Regions from separate parts of the Mus musculus genome. Here regions 1, 2 and 3 are each reported to be linked to region 4. Evidence: microRNA targets listed by miRTarBase, many of them from high-throughput screens and not tested one by one. Region 4 holds a microRNA gene; each other region holds the end of a gene's coding sequence.

Region 1 (3,030 bases), not on the chromosome of region 4:
GCCCCCGACGTAGCTTTGTGTGACTTGTTGACTCCTGCTTTGCCGGGGCCTGATAATAGGACCTTCTTCCAATTGCTCCTGGTGCCCATTGTACTGTACATGATGGTTACTGAGGCAATAAGAAAAACATAAAGATAAGTAATGGCTTGTGATGTAGAGTGGCTACTAGCCAGGAGGAGAAGCCAGTTTGGTCCCCTAGGCCATTGCTCCACCATCCACATCCTGAAGAGGCAAAGCCGAATGAACAGAAACTCGGTGTTCTAAGTGTTTCTGTTGTGGTCTAGGGGGTCAGAACCTCTGAGCTAAGCCTCAAAAAGTCGCAAGGGTGATTGAACATAAAGTGGTTATTTGAGCACAGGAAATACGTGGTGAGACTGATCAGACCAGGAAACCAGGCCTAGTGAGATACAGACCGGTACAGTTCATCTGGTTAGCAGGCACTGATTCGCCTTGTACATTTCAGACTTACAACAAGAAAGGGGCCTCTCGGAGGAAAGACCACCTGAAGGGCCACCAGAACGGGTCTGTGGCCGCCGTCAACGGACACACCAACAGCTTCCCTTCCCTGGAAAACAGCGTGAAGCCCAGGAAGCAGCGAAAGGATTGACAAGCCGAGCCGAAGCCTCCAGACCGCGGCGTGTGATTGTAAGCACAGCGTGACTTGTGCCCTGACGCTCATAGCAGCTGCTGTCACTAGTCTGGCCCTACTATCTGCAGTGTGACTCATGTAGGACCTTCTTCATCAGTTCAAAACCCCTAGAATATGTATACAGATTATACAAAGTAGGCATACGATTTTCTCACATTTCTGGGCTCTCATCGACCCCCGCGCTAGACTGTGGAAAGGGAATGTTCTTGTAGTATACAACACTGCTGTTGCCTTATTAGTTGTAACACGATAGGTGCTGAATTGTGGTTCACAATTTAAAACACTGTAATCCAAACTTTTTTTTTTTAACTGTAGACCATGCATGTGATTGTAAATTTGTACAATGTTGTTAACAGTAGAAAAACACACATGCCTTAAGACTTAAAAAAGCAGGGCCCAGAGCTTGTTAGTTTAATTAGGGTATGTTTCAACTTTGTATTATTCATTTGTATTAGCTCTGTTTAGAAAAATCAAATGTATGATTTATGAAACAAGTGTGTGATGTGTAACTTCAAGTGACTTGGAGATGCGAAATCTGATGGCACCCTTGGTTTTATAACGATGGCTTTAAATAAGCAGGTTCAAGTCTAGTGGAACAGTCAGTTTAACTTTTTAACAGATCTTATTTTTTTATTTTGAGTGCCACTATTAATGTGTTTAAAGAGGTGGGGAAAGGGTCCAAAGCGTCTGGAGACACTTACGTACCTGTCCCTGGTCCCCCAGAGGCTAGGGTGACTATAAGAGTAGGTCACTTTTCACTTCTGAAGTGCTTAGTGTTTTTATACAGGAGATAAAAAGGCCATTCGACTTCCCACCACTTGGAGAGAGAGAACTACCTTTCAGGAAAGGTGACGAGACATTTATTATCTGACAGACACACACACACACACACACAGTGATAAGGGACTGGTTACCTGGGTCCACATTTTTTTTTATTCTTTTCTGTAGTGCTACTTTGACATACACTTCCTTTTAAAATGTGCCTAATTTACCAAGAGACCAGGAAGCACCATAAGCATTTTGAGGTAAAATTTAAGAGCTGGAGCGCGCAGGAACTGGGTGTTTGGGAGCAACCGCTTTTTTCAGTGTGAATCATGGTGGCATCTGTAATTTTTTTCTGATTAGCACCTAAAGATCGGTTTAAAGTGCTTGGACTGCTTATCCTAAAATCGTGTCTAGTGCGCTCGAGGCATCGGTCATACAAATGGGGACTCTTTTCATGTGTGTCATTTTTAAAGTGTTGAAAGCTTAGCCTTTGAATACCTTCTGCATTGGTAAAAAATCCATGGAACCACTCATGGCACATCTTAGGAGATGATTGACAATGTATAAACTAATTGTGGGTTTGATATTTATGTAAATACCAGTTTACCATGCTTTAATTTTGCACATTCATATTACAAGGAGCCAGTTGGTCCTAATTAGCCTTGTGGGTTTTCTGTTTGGAAGGAGTTGCGGCATCTGTTTACATTTCCCTTGTCAGATCTAGAATGTGTGTATGTGTGTGTCTTCTCCCTAGGTACCCGTCTGCAGGTGTCTTTACATATCTCAATACAAAAATTATAACATTTGATAGTGTGCTGTCAAAGTGTGCTTAGCTCATCTGGATATACCCACACTGTTAAATAATGTCTAAACATTAATCATTAAAACCTTTTTGATTACCCGTGCTGTGTCTTCTGTTGTTTGATGTGCTGACAGTTCTGAAAGACTGCAGGATGGTCAACTCTGTCACCTTGTAGGAGCTTAGGGAGTGGACATGAGTAATGTAGCGTGGAAAGTGGTTGTATCAGTTGGGGGCTCTCTAGAGAAACAGAACTCATAGAATGAGTGTGGGGGTGGGGGGAGGATTTATTAGAATGGCTTACAGGTTGTGGTCCAGCTAGTCCAACAAGGCTATCTACAGACAGAGGATCCAAGGATCCAGTAGCTGTTTAGTCCACGAGGCTAAATGTCTCAGCTGCTCTTCAGGAAACACGGGTTCCAGAGCAGTCGCGTCGAATGCCAGCGAAGGATTTGCTTGAGTGGACTCACTAGCAAGAGTGAGAACAAGCAGGCAAAGAGAAGAGGGCTTCCTTCTTCTCTGTCCTGTTTAGAGAGAGGCTGCCAGCAGCAGGTAGGGCCTGGATTAAAGGTGGGTTTCTACCTCAGAGATCCAGATCTCAAGTGGGTCTTCCCACTTCAGATGATTAAGGAACAAAATCCAGCACTGGCGTAGTCAGTTTGAGTTGTAGTCAGTTCTGCATGTGGTCAAGCTGGCAACCAAGAATTGCTATCACCTCCCATGGCAGAGGACCCCAGAGCATAAATCTCAGTGTCTTCCAACAACCCTAGCTCCTCCCCTGCACCCCTGCTAGAGGGTTCACCTCTGAGCACGCTCC
Region 2 (3,026 bases), not on the chromosome of region 4:
CGGAAACTACATAAGGCAAGTGCTCCTAAGAGCCTACCGCCCAGGAAGGTAACAGATTCGTGTTGTCTCGAGTCACCTAGTTGCAGTAATTTGTAATTATTATTACAGCAGCAAAAATAAGCTAATGTAAGGCCTGTCCTGCAACCTACTGACCGGCTCTTAGAAAAGTTACATCGTCTGCATCCCACAGCATCCCTCCTTGCTCAAGCTAAGAACTGTGTTGGGATGTAAAGGAACATCCAGATAGAACTGTCTGGCACACAGGTGCACAACACTCCTGAGTTTCCAGCTTCCCTTTTCCTTCTAGGTGGTGGCAGTGGGGGTGGTGCGGGTGGTCACACAAGGCAGGAGAGCAGGAACCCAATGCCCTGTCAATACAGAAACCCCTTCCTTTGAATATAGGCTGTGGGAAAGACTCTCCCTCAAGTTCCCCAAGCCCATCTTATCTAGGGAAGTCTCCATATCTATCTTTTGGGGACCCAGAGCTCCCACCTCCCCCATGAAAACACTGCAGAGTACAAAAGACCCTTTTAAGAGGCTGGAGGTGAGAGTCAGCCTCCAGGATCGCTCTGCAAACAGGCTTCAGAGATGAAAGGACAGCTTCTACATCTGCCTCCATCATGGCCACTGAACAATCAGGAACTGGTGCCCCATTAAGGTAAGCCCACTCAGGAGACCCCACGGTCACACCCCACCCTCCTCTCCGCAGATCCCAAAGAAACATCCTTTTAACAGCTCAGGCACCAGTGCCTTGGTTAGTTGTGTTATGAGCTTTTATTTAAAAAGCACATTTAATACATGTTTAGTTTCTCAGATACACTTTTTTTTTTTACTTTGTATGCCACAAAAGTGTTTGAATATTATTCTCTTTACAAAACGGAATCTTACAAAAATACTGACAATTTAATGTTTTTATACAGTTTTTTTTCTCTAGTTGCAGTTATTTCATTGTAAAACAATGGCTACCACAGAACTATATCTTTAGTTGAGATTAAAAAAAAACAAAACAAAACAAAACCAAAGAACTCAATGCTCCTTTAAGCAGCTAATGTAAATAACACAGGTCGAGACACAGTTTATAATCATAGTGGATATAACTAAAACTGTTTCAGAAATAATATCTTACATAGTTAACTTTTAATGTTTTATACAATATTTATATAATATTTATATATAAAATCATAGCTTGCTATATGTTGAAATGAAAGGACGGAGTCTGGGAGGGTGTAGATGTGGTCATTCCAGATGGTTACATGTAGCCCTTTGAAAGATTTGAAAAGCACTTCTTCTTTTCCTTCTTCTTTTCCTTGGAGGTTCAGTAGAAGGGTCCTTGTCTACTGTCTAGAGGGGGACCTTGCTTGGAAGGACACTTGTGGATGGAGGATGAGGAAAACTCTCTACACAGATTTAACCCATGTGTTCTGCCCAGCAGAACCCACCAAGAACTGCCCCAGGGGTCAACCCCGGGACAATAGTGCTCTACACAGCAAGATCAACTCCTGCAAAGACCCTCGGGGCTCCCTTATCTTGAAGGGTAGCCTTTTGGGCACGAGACCCTCTGCTACTCTGGCTCTCTCTGATCCCAAGGAGCCAAAAAATGTTGGTTCATTTTTTTTCATTCTGCCCTTTCTCTCTCTCCTTGTCTCTTTACTGAGGCTCTTTCAATCAGCCAAAGATTGACCAGGTCTGTGCATCCCTGGCCCTCACATGAAATCCTGGTCGGCATCCAGCAAGGATCTCAAGGGGAATATAGCAGTAACCAAAGTCTACAGGTTTCTACATGTGCAAGTGCCTGGTGATTGACCCTGCAATGGCAGTTCCTCGTCACAGTGTGGTGTGTGAGAAGACACCCTCTGTGTCTTCTGAACTTGTGCTATTTGTGAAGTTCACTCTTCCACAAAGGGTCTCCTAATCTCTAAAAGTGAGGGGCTGTGGTTGTTAGCCTGGGGATGGGGAGATGACAGAGGCCTCAGGTCTTGGGGGTTGGGATTCAGGATCTGATCACGGGACTGAAAAATTGTGTGCCCATTCCCGGAATTTTGAGGCACACACACACACACACACACAAACTTCCTTGAATCAAAGTCACAGTAGAGTGGGGCGGGCAGAGGGGCTGATTCGGTGCTGGTTCGAGCCTTGTGTGCTACATAAGAGCTCCAGCTGTTCTGGCCTGGGATTTCTCGGGTCACAAAAGATGACCCCAGCCTCTGCTCAATTATTCTAGTGTTTTGCTCCTTGACAAGCCCGTGCTCACTAGAACATGAACACTTAACTGGCTGCACAGCCAGCACTCAGGACTCCCGCACTGTTGTCTCCACACAGGCAAACAACCTATTTTGGAAGGCCACAAGATAAGGCTTTTTTTTTTTTTTTTTAAATGTTTTCAAAATCCATCGGGCAAAAGCTTTTCCCTACATTCTACTGTCTGATGAGATCGGAGAGCAGCAGGAACGTGCAGTCGCTTCAGAGAAAGCGCTCCGGAGGCCGCAGCATCTACACCATGTTATGGTGATTGTTCCTGTCGATGATGTCCACGGGAGACAGGATCTCCCTCCTGATCGCAGGGGCGGGCAGTGAGAGGCTCGTCTTAGTCTTGAAGAGGTCGGACACGAAGAACACCTAGGGCGCGAATCAGAGATCCAAGTCAGTAAATGCCTAGTGTGGCCCAGGAACAGGCGACAAACACAGACGGTTGGCAAAGAGGGCCCGAATCTCAGCTTTTTAACTGGCGGAGGTCATACAGGAATCACGGTGCAGAGAGGGAAACTGAGGCAATGACTTGCCTGGGCTACGAAAGAGCAAACCCTACTTTTCTCAAGGCCTACGTGTCATGGCAGATAAATTCCACAGAAGGGACATGCTCATCACTGCTCAGCTATTAACCCACACTCCTCTCCTTTTCCTGACAAAGAAATCCAGAGTGAGGCCAAAGGTGAGATGGGCCAGTGCAAACTCTGACCAGCAGGAGCCGGAACAAGAAGAGGCACGGTGAGTATATTTTCCCGAAAGCCCTATGATATCAACCA
Region 3 (3,030 bases), not on the chromosome of region 4:
GGCGGACCTCCCCCAAGGTCTGGGGGGCAAGCAGCTGGAAAATTGGGCTCGGGAGCTCTAGGATCTGAGGTCTTCCTGGCTCCCAGGGTTCAGTCCTCCATGCACCCCAGATATGGGGGCAATGAAAGGTAATCATGGATCAGAGGTGGGTATCGACAAGGAACAGGGCAAGGGGACCTGGGAGAGGGGGTACTGGAGATGGGGGACTAGGGAACCTTCCCCAAGTCCCCACTGCTTAATCCGAAGATCTCACAGCACCATACAGCACTCTGGTCCCCCTCCCCACCCCTTCCCAAAACGAGGTAGGTTAAGAATGGAGCTTCCCCCGCTTACCATGGAAGGGGGGGAGACCGAGGCACAAAGAGAGGATGGGGACGCAGGCTGCCCCAGCCCCCAGTCCCTCTGCCCTCAGCTCTGGTGGGTCTGACAATTGATGAGAGCTGGGCAGAAGGGGGATGGGAGGGACACCCTCTTTCCCCATTTTCTCTCACCCATCCCAGGATCTGCTTGGGGGAGCTGAATCACAGGTTCCGGATACAATAAATAGTTAATAATTTAAAGGAAGTGACACAAATATTCATCCCTTGAACCCCCACAAGGCCACCCAAGTCTGGGTAATGAAAAATGATTCAAGTGTACATTCCCAGGTACTTAGGGCCAGATGTAGGTCCTAAGCCCATGAACCATCAAGACTTTGGCTCTGAAATCTTAGTTCTCCTATCCAGGACACCTGATCCTAGTGTCTCTACTTAGGGAAAAGAGGCTGTGGCTCCTCTCTTCTCCATGGGGAAGTACTACAAAACAATACTGAGCTTTTCAGAGCAACCCCCAACTGAGATGGAAGAGGTTCACAGGGGAGGGACCTGAATGTACTAGGGGTTATAGTGTGGGAAATCTGCAAGGTTGGGGTGGGGGTGGGTCTTCTGGGGATCAATTGCTGGCCCCGGAATTACAGGTGTGCAAAGGGTAGGCCTTCTGCGGTCTCTGCTTGATCCCTGTAGCTGCCTGCCTCTGCTGAGCTGACAGCACACAATCTTCCATAGCAAAGCCAGGCCCTAGAGAGGGGAAAGGGGAAACTGCTAGGTGATCCCGGATTCCAGGAATCTGAATTTACACTGGCTTAAGTACCCTGCCCTAGGATAAAGGGGGTGGGGGTGGGAGTCTGGGCATTGCTAGGGCATTTCAGTTTTATGGGCCTCTGGATGGCAGGACATGGGAGACGGGGAAATCAGGTAGTGAGGAAATGGGGGCTTCATTAGTCTACAAGTACTTTGAATTCAAGAACACCTGGAGCCTAACGGTGCTGAAAGACTGTGGCATCTTGTTGCTGAATGTCTCTGGTCTGAAGGGATCAAGGTGTCAGGCCAAAACCAATCCCAAAATTGTGAGGGCTTGACTCCTGCACCCAGGGTCCAATGGCATCTTGGGTCTTAGATCCAGGGCTCATAAAGCCCTTTGGATTTGCTCTCGGGCTGAGAGTCAAGGAATGAAGGACCTGGGTTACCATGACCACCGCATCTTCTAAGTTCCAGGCTTCCACCCAACGTGGTGGAAGGGGAGTGTAGGCAGAAGGAAGCCGATGTTTCCAGAATATTTTAAAATTCAGGCCTAAGGGAAACCGGAAGGTTAGCTAATCTCTACAAACCAGTGTGTTGGGCCCAAAGTGCAGGTGGCCTTCAGGCAGACATTTAAGGATACCAGGCATCTCAGAGCCCATCCACAAGACTCAAATTCTCATGGCTGGCTTAAGGAGTAGGTGTTTGGAGCCTGGCTCCCCCCCCCCCCCCCCAGCATCTTGGTATCTGATATCTGGACCTTGCTGAGCTCTGAAAAGAGCCTCCCAAGTAATTTTGGTCTGAAAATACCTCATATGTGAGGATATCTAAGGAGTTAATACATTTTAAATCTGGGGTGCTAGGGAATTTGCGGGTCACTTGCACATGAACTGATGGCAATGTCTGTGGACTCTCAGGAGCGGGTAGAGTTCAGGCCAGTATCTGGTGATTCCAAACCATCCTGGGGCTATAAGAGCATCTAAATGTGAAGATACCAGGTCTCAGGTGAAAATTCAGGGACCATTTTCTGGTGATTCTGGGTCCTCTGGTCTCAAGGTCTAAGTCATTTGATAATAGTGTCAAGTTTGAGTAACTCTTGACTAGTTTGGGGGCCGTAAGATGAGTGTTTACAATGTCAAGTATGACCTGAAGTCTGGGTTGGGCATTTAGACAGAGTCAGGGTCCAAGATGTGAGCTCCTGGGCCCCTTGAGATGCAATGTTTGAAAATATTCTAAGTCTTCTCAGTGGGGAAAAGGTATGGAGAATCCAGAATTCAGGACTTCGGGTGGGCAGACACCCTGATGAAGCAGGGCCTCGGTATCTCAGTCCTCAGTTTGGGGTCCAGGTACCAGATCTGGGATCTCTCAAATCCATTCAAGTTCCAGATATACCTAAGTTTGGGTTTTAGGTTCATATGCTGTTCAGGGTCCTGGACCTTCAATTTTTGGGTCTTCAGACCGATTTCCAAACCAGCTCAACAATCCTCACCGTGCAGCCTCCTCGTGGCGACCCCCACAGCCCGCACAGCCACAACGTGCTGCAACCCAGTGACAGGCGCGCAGGGGCGCATAACAACAGAGACAGGGCACTGCCAGAGACAGAGCAGCCAGAGCAGCCCAGCGCGCAGCAGGGCGTGGGTGGCCTGGCTCACAAGCACACGGGTCCGAGAAGTCACCCTCGGCGTCTGACAGGCAGTGGTACAGCAAGCTCTCGGCACACCACAAGCAGCTGAGCCGGCGCACTAGCAGGCGACCTGGGTCAGGGGCCTCTGCGCAGCGACCACCACGCCCATCTGCCCGGCGGCGGAAGAGTGCTCGGCAGTGCACACAGCGTGCAGCCTCCTCAGCCTCTGGGGAGGCTTTGGCTGGAGCAGGGGTGGGGCCTGGACCTGGGGGTGGACGAGCAGGGGGTGCTGGGGGTGCAGCCTCTGTGAGAGGGGCAGGGAGTGACACTGGAGGACCCAGGGCTGCACCC
Region 4 (3,030 bases):
TCCATAGAAGTGCCAGCAGCCGATGCCCCCCAGTTAGGGGGTCCCTGTTCGTGATGGAGGTTCTTCTTGGTGATGTTGCCATTTGGGTGAACCGGAGGCAGGGGCTCGGGAATCATGAAGGCATCCAGGAGGGTGGAAAAGTATTGGGAGTGAGGTGGGGGCGGGGAGGGGATTGTGCTTGATGCTTTTCCAATTTCAGAGATGGAGTTGAAATGTCTTCCTTCGGGTGTGACCCCCGGGGACTAGACAGGTTTGTTGGGGAACAGGAGCAAGCAATGGGAAAATGCCCCTGGAGCCTGGGCAGTGAGTAGTCCCCCAGAAAGCTGGGCCATTTGCTCCAGGCTGTCACGTCCTGGAGACTCTCAGCCTCTGGGGCTGGAAAACCCAGGAGCACAGAGGGCTGGTTTACTTCTAACCTACCAGTCAACAGAAAGGCCTGCTCTAGGAGCCAGCAGCTGGGGAGGGGAGTGTAGCCTGTGCCTCTCCCTTATCTGCGGTGCTGAGAGATTATACTCCGAATGCCCCTACACTCCCCCAAGCCGTGCCAGCTGGAGTGTTTTAGGGGCCGTGAGGGAAGTGGGCTTTCCACTCTGCATCTCCCCCGTGAGCACAGGAAGCTTCTAGAAGAATGGACCAGAGGCGGGGTAGCATGACTCTGCATTATCTTCAGAAGGTGGAGGGTTTCAAGGCATTGGGTCCCTGAAGTGTCAGGGGAGGTCAGGTCAGAGATGTCTGTGGGTAGCATCAGGATGCTGGACTCTGCTAAAGTCCTGGGGTGACTGTGGATGATGACCAAGAGGGATGCTGCCTCTGTGAGGGAGGAGCAGGAGCTGGAGCTGTCAGCAGGTGGCAGGAGGGTGTGACCCTGAAAGGTAGGAAGCCACAAGCTGCTGTCTGCTCTGGAGAATAGTGGGGGGCCGGGGGTGGGGTGCAAGCAGCCAGATTTGGGAGGAGGTAAATGAGCAGTTGCTGCCCATGGGTTTGCTGCAATGGGGTGCCATGCTAAGTGTCACAAGAAGCAGGGGTCTTGGAATTTGAGAGGCTTTGGGGTTGGGGACAAGGCTTAGAAAAGGGACTAAAGTGGGGAAAACCTGCCATTAACAAACAACCCCCTTCCCCAAATAAAACCTGTGAGTGCCAGGGGAGGGTAGTGCCCCCCAAAAACCCAGGAGGGAAAGATCTGGAAAAATGAAACCAACTCTGAGAGAGATGGGCGGGGTCAGTGGGGAACAATACTGCCGCTCCACTCCCACCCACCTTCAGGGCTGGCAAGGAGGAAGCTGCTGGTAGGGTAGAACGGAGAGACGTTCCTACGATGGGTATGTACTCCAGTGCTTTCCTGGAAGTGTAGAGAGCTTTGCAGAGCCTGCCTTAGCTGTTCTGATGTTGAGCACCTATGGTTCCAGTTGGGCTGGGTCTCAGCTCCTCTATCTTTGACCCTCAGCAAGCAGGTCTGCCAATGCATGGGCTTCTGGGCAGCCTGACCCAGCCTGCCCGGGGCCCTCAGGCCAGTGCCCAGGCTCTGGCTCCGTGTCTTCACTCCCGTGTTTGTCCGAGGAGGGAGGGAGGGACGGGGGCGGTGCTGGGGCAACTGGAACAGCGCAGGTCACCGGGCTGGCTGGGTGAGGTGGCCAGGCAGAGCCAGGGGGCTGCAGGGGAGGCCATTGGATGGGGTATGCTCATAGTAGCTGGCCAAAAGTCTCATGGGTCCCATTTATCCAGAACCTGCCGTGGAGTGGGGCGAGTTTCTGTTTCTGAGTGTGTGTCCTTAATTAACTTCTTCCTGTTTCAGCTTCGTTCTTCTGTCTATGTGGTGAGGGGTGGCAATTGGGACCACTAAGATGGAGAAGGATGTCAGAGGAGCAGAAACCATGGGAGGGGCCAGTAAGGCTGTGCCCACCTCTCTCTTGCCAGTGCTCTGTTGTGCAGCCTGGTCCTCAATATTTCCACCTAAAACCTTTGGCCTACACACACAGAGTGCCTCTGTCCCAGCTGAGCCCAGGATGGCCCCATCCTGATACCTGCAGCCTCCATCCCCATAGCTGTTTCCCCACTCACTGCTGAAGTCAGAGATGGGTCATCCTCTACAGTGCCCCCCATGATTCCTCCTCTAACAGAAAAACCCTTAAACCCCACCACTCAAAGAGAGAGATGTGGCATATCACCTCAGCCCAGCAGACCATGGCCCGGAGCAGAGCAAATAGAAGGCCCTGCTGGGCCCTGTACCTTGTTGTGCCTGTAGCCTGCTTGCGGGTGGATAATCTCTGCTTAGCCCTCCCTACTCTAGAAGGAAGGGAATCAATCAATGGATGCAGATCAAGTGGCAGGACCTAGGCTTGCAGCTCCCAGCTGTCTGGGCACCAACCCAGCCCTTTCTTGAGGTTGGGTGCTTAATAACATGTTGCTTCCCAGGACCTGCAGTCCCTGTGAAAGGCAGGTGCCCTGGGCAGGAGGAAGCAGTGTGGTAGGAGCAGAGGGTACCAGGTAGGGGAGTGGTGGGAGGGGCATTCCGTGTGCACCTCCCATCTCTGACTCCCTTTTCTCTTGACTCCCCCAAGCACCCTTGAATCAGAATACAATTCCTTCTGTTCTTCTACCAGCTGTCAGCCACTGCCCTGCTCTGTGGACCTTTGGGGACCCTGAAACCAGGTGGGACTCAGCCTGTGAGGCCAAAAGTCCCCAGGGTTCTGGGATGAAGCACAGCTCCCATGCCTTAGTAAGCAGGAGAAGGGCTAGGCCAGGCCCTCAACCTGAGACCTGGAAGAGCAGATCTGAAGGTTGCCCTACCTAGGGATGGAGGGGTGGCATCTGGGGATATATACCTTCCATGTCAGGTCAAAATCACAGAGGCTGTACACAGTTCCACTCTGCAATATGCACACACACACACACACACACACACACACACACACACACACCATCCAGCACACATAAATGCTTGTGCTTACTAAGTGCTAAAGACAAGGATGTGATCATGTAACAAGCTCTTAAGGGTGAATGCAACCTCAGAATCTCTCCTTAGTCAGAGAT

The links. The annotated mature microRNA mmu-miR-149-5p reads UCUGGCUCCGUGUCUUCACUCCC and lies in region 4 at 1,522-1,544, shown strand. An mRNA with a match to its seed (bases 2 to 7 or 8) in the 3' UTR can be bound and repressed. Matches are read on the target gene's strand: a 7mer-m8 pairs with bases 2 to 8, a 7mer-A1 pairs with bases 2 to 7 and ends in A, and an 8mer does both.
Region 1: the mRNA of Elovl5 is a reported target of mmu-miR-149-5p. Seed matches in the 3' UTR shown: 7mer-m8 at 2,054-2,060.
Region 2: the mRNA of Plpp3 is a reported target of mmu-miR-149-5p. Seed matches in the 3' UTR shown: 8mer at 1,566-1,573.
Region 3: the mRNA of Spred3 is a reported target of mmu-miR-149-5p. Seed matches in the 3' UTR shown: 7mer-m8 at 1,768-1,774 and 7mer-m8 at 76-82.

Annotation. Positions count from the first base shown.
Region 1 is chr9:77,982,202-77,985,231 of GRCm38, forward strand. Elovl5 (ELOVL family member 5, elongation of long chain fatty acids (yeast)) reads left to right here. Exons shown (of 8, transcript NM_134255.3): 8 at 464-2,318. The coding sequence ends at 607. Among named protein-coding and RNA genes, the nearest start is that of Gm34829, 4.1 kb to the right of the region's middle.
Region 2 is chr4:105,230,490-105,233,515 of GRCm38, reverse strand. Plpp3 (phospholipid phosphatase 3) reads right to left here. Exons shown (of 6, transcript NM_080555.2): 6 at 749-2,619. The coding sequence ends at 2,494. Among named protein-coding and RNA genes, the nearest start is that of Plpp3, 75 kb to the right of the region's middle.
Region 3 is chr7:29,158,986-29,162,015 of GRCm38, forward strand. Spred3 (sprouty-related EVH1 domain containing 3) reads right to left here. Exons shown (of 6, transcript NM_182927.3): 6 at 1-3,030. The coding sequence ends at 2,541. Among named protein-coding and RNA genes, the nearest start is that of Fam98c, 4.3 kb to the left of the region's middle.
Region 4 is chr1:92,848,860-92,851,889 of GRCm38, forward strand. It overlaps Mir149 (microRNA 149), which reads left to right and starts at 1,519; the gene lies at 1,519-1,584. All of the region lies in intron 1 of Gpc1 (glypican 1), which reads left to right.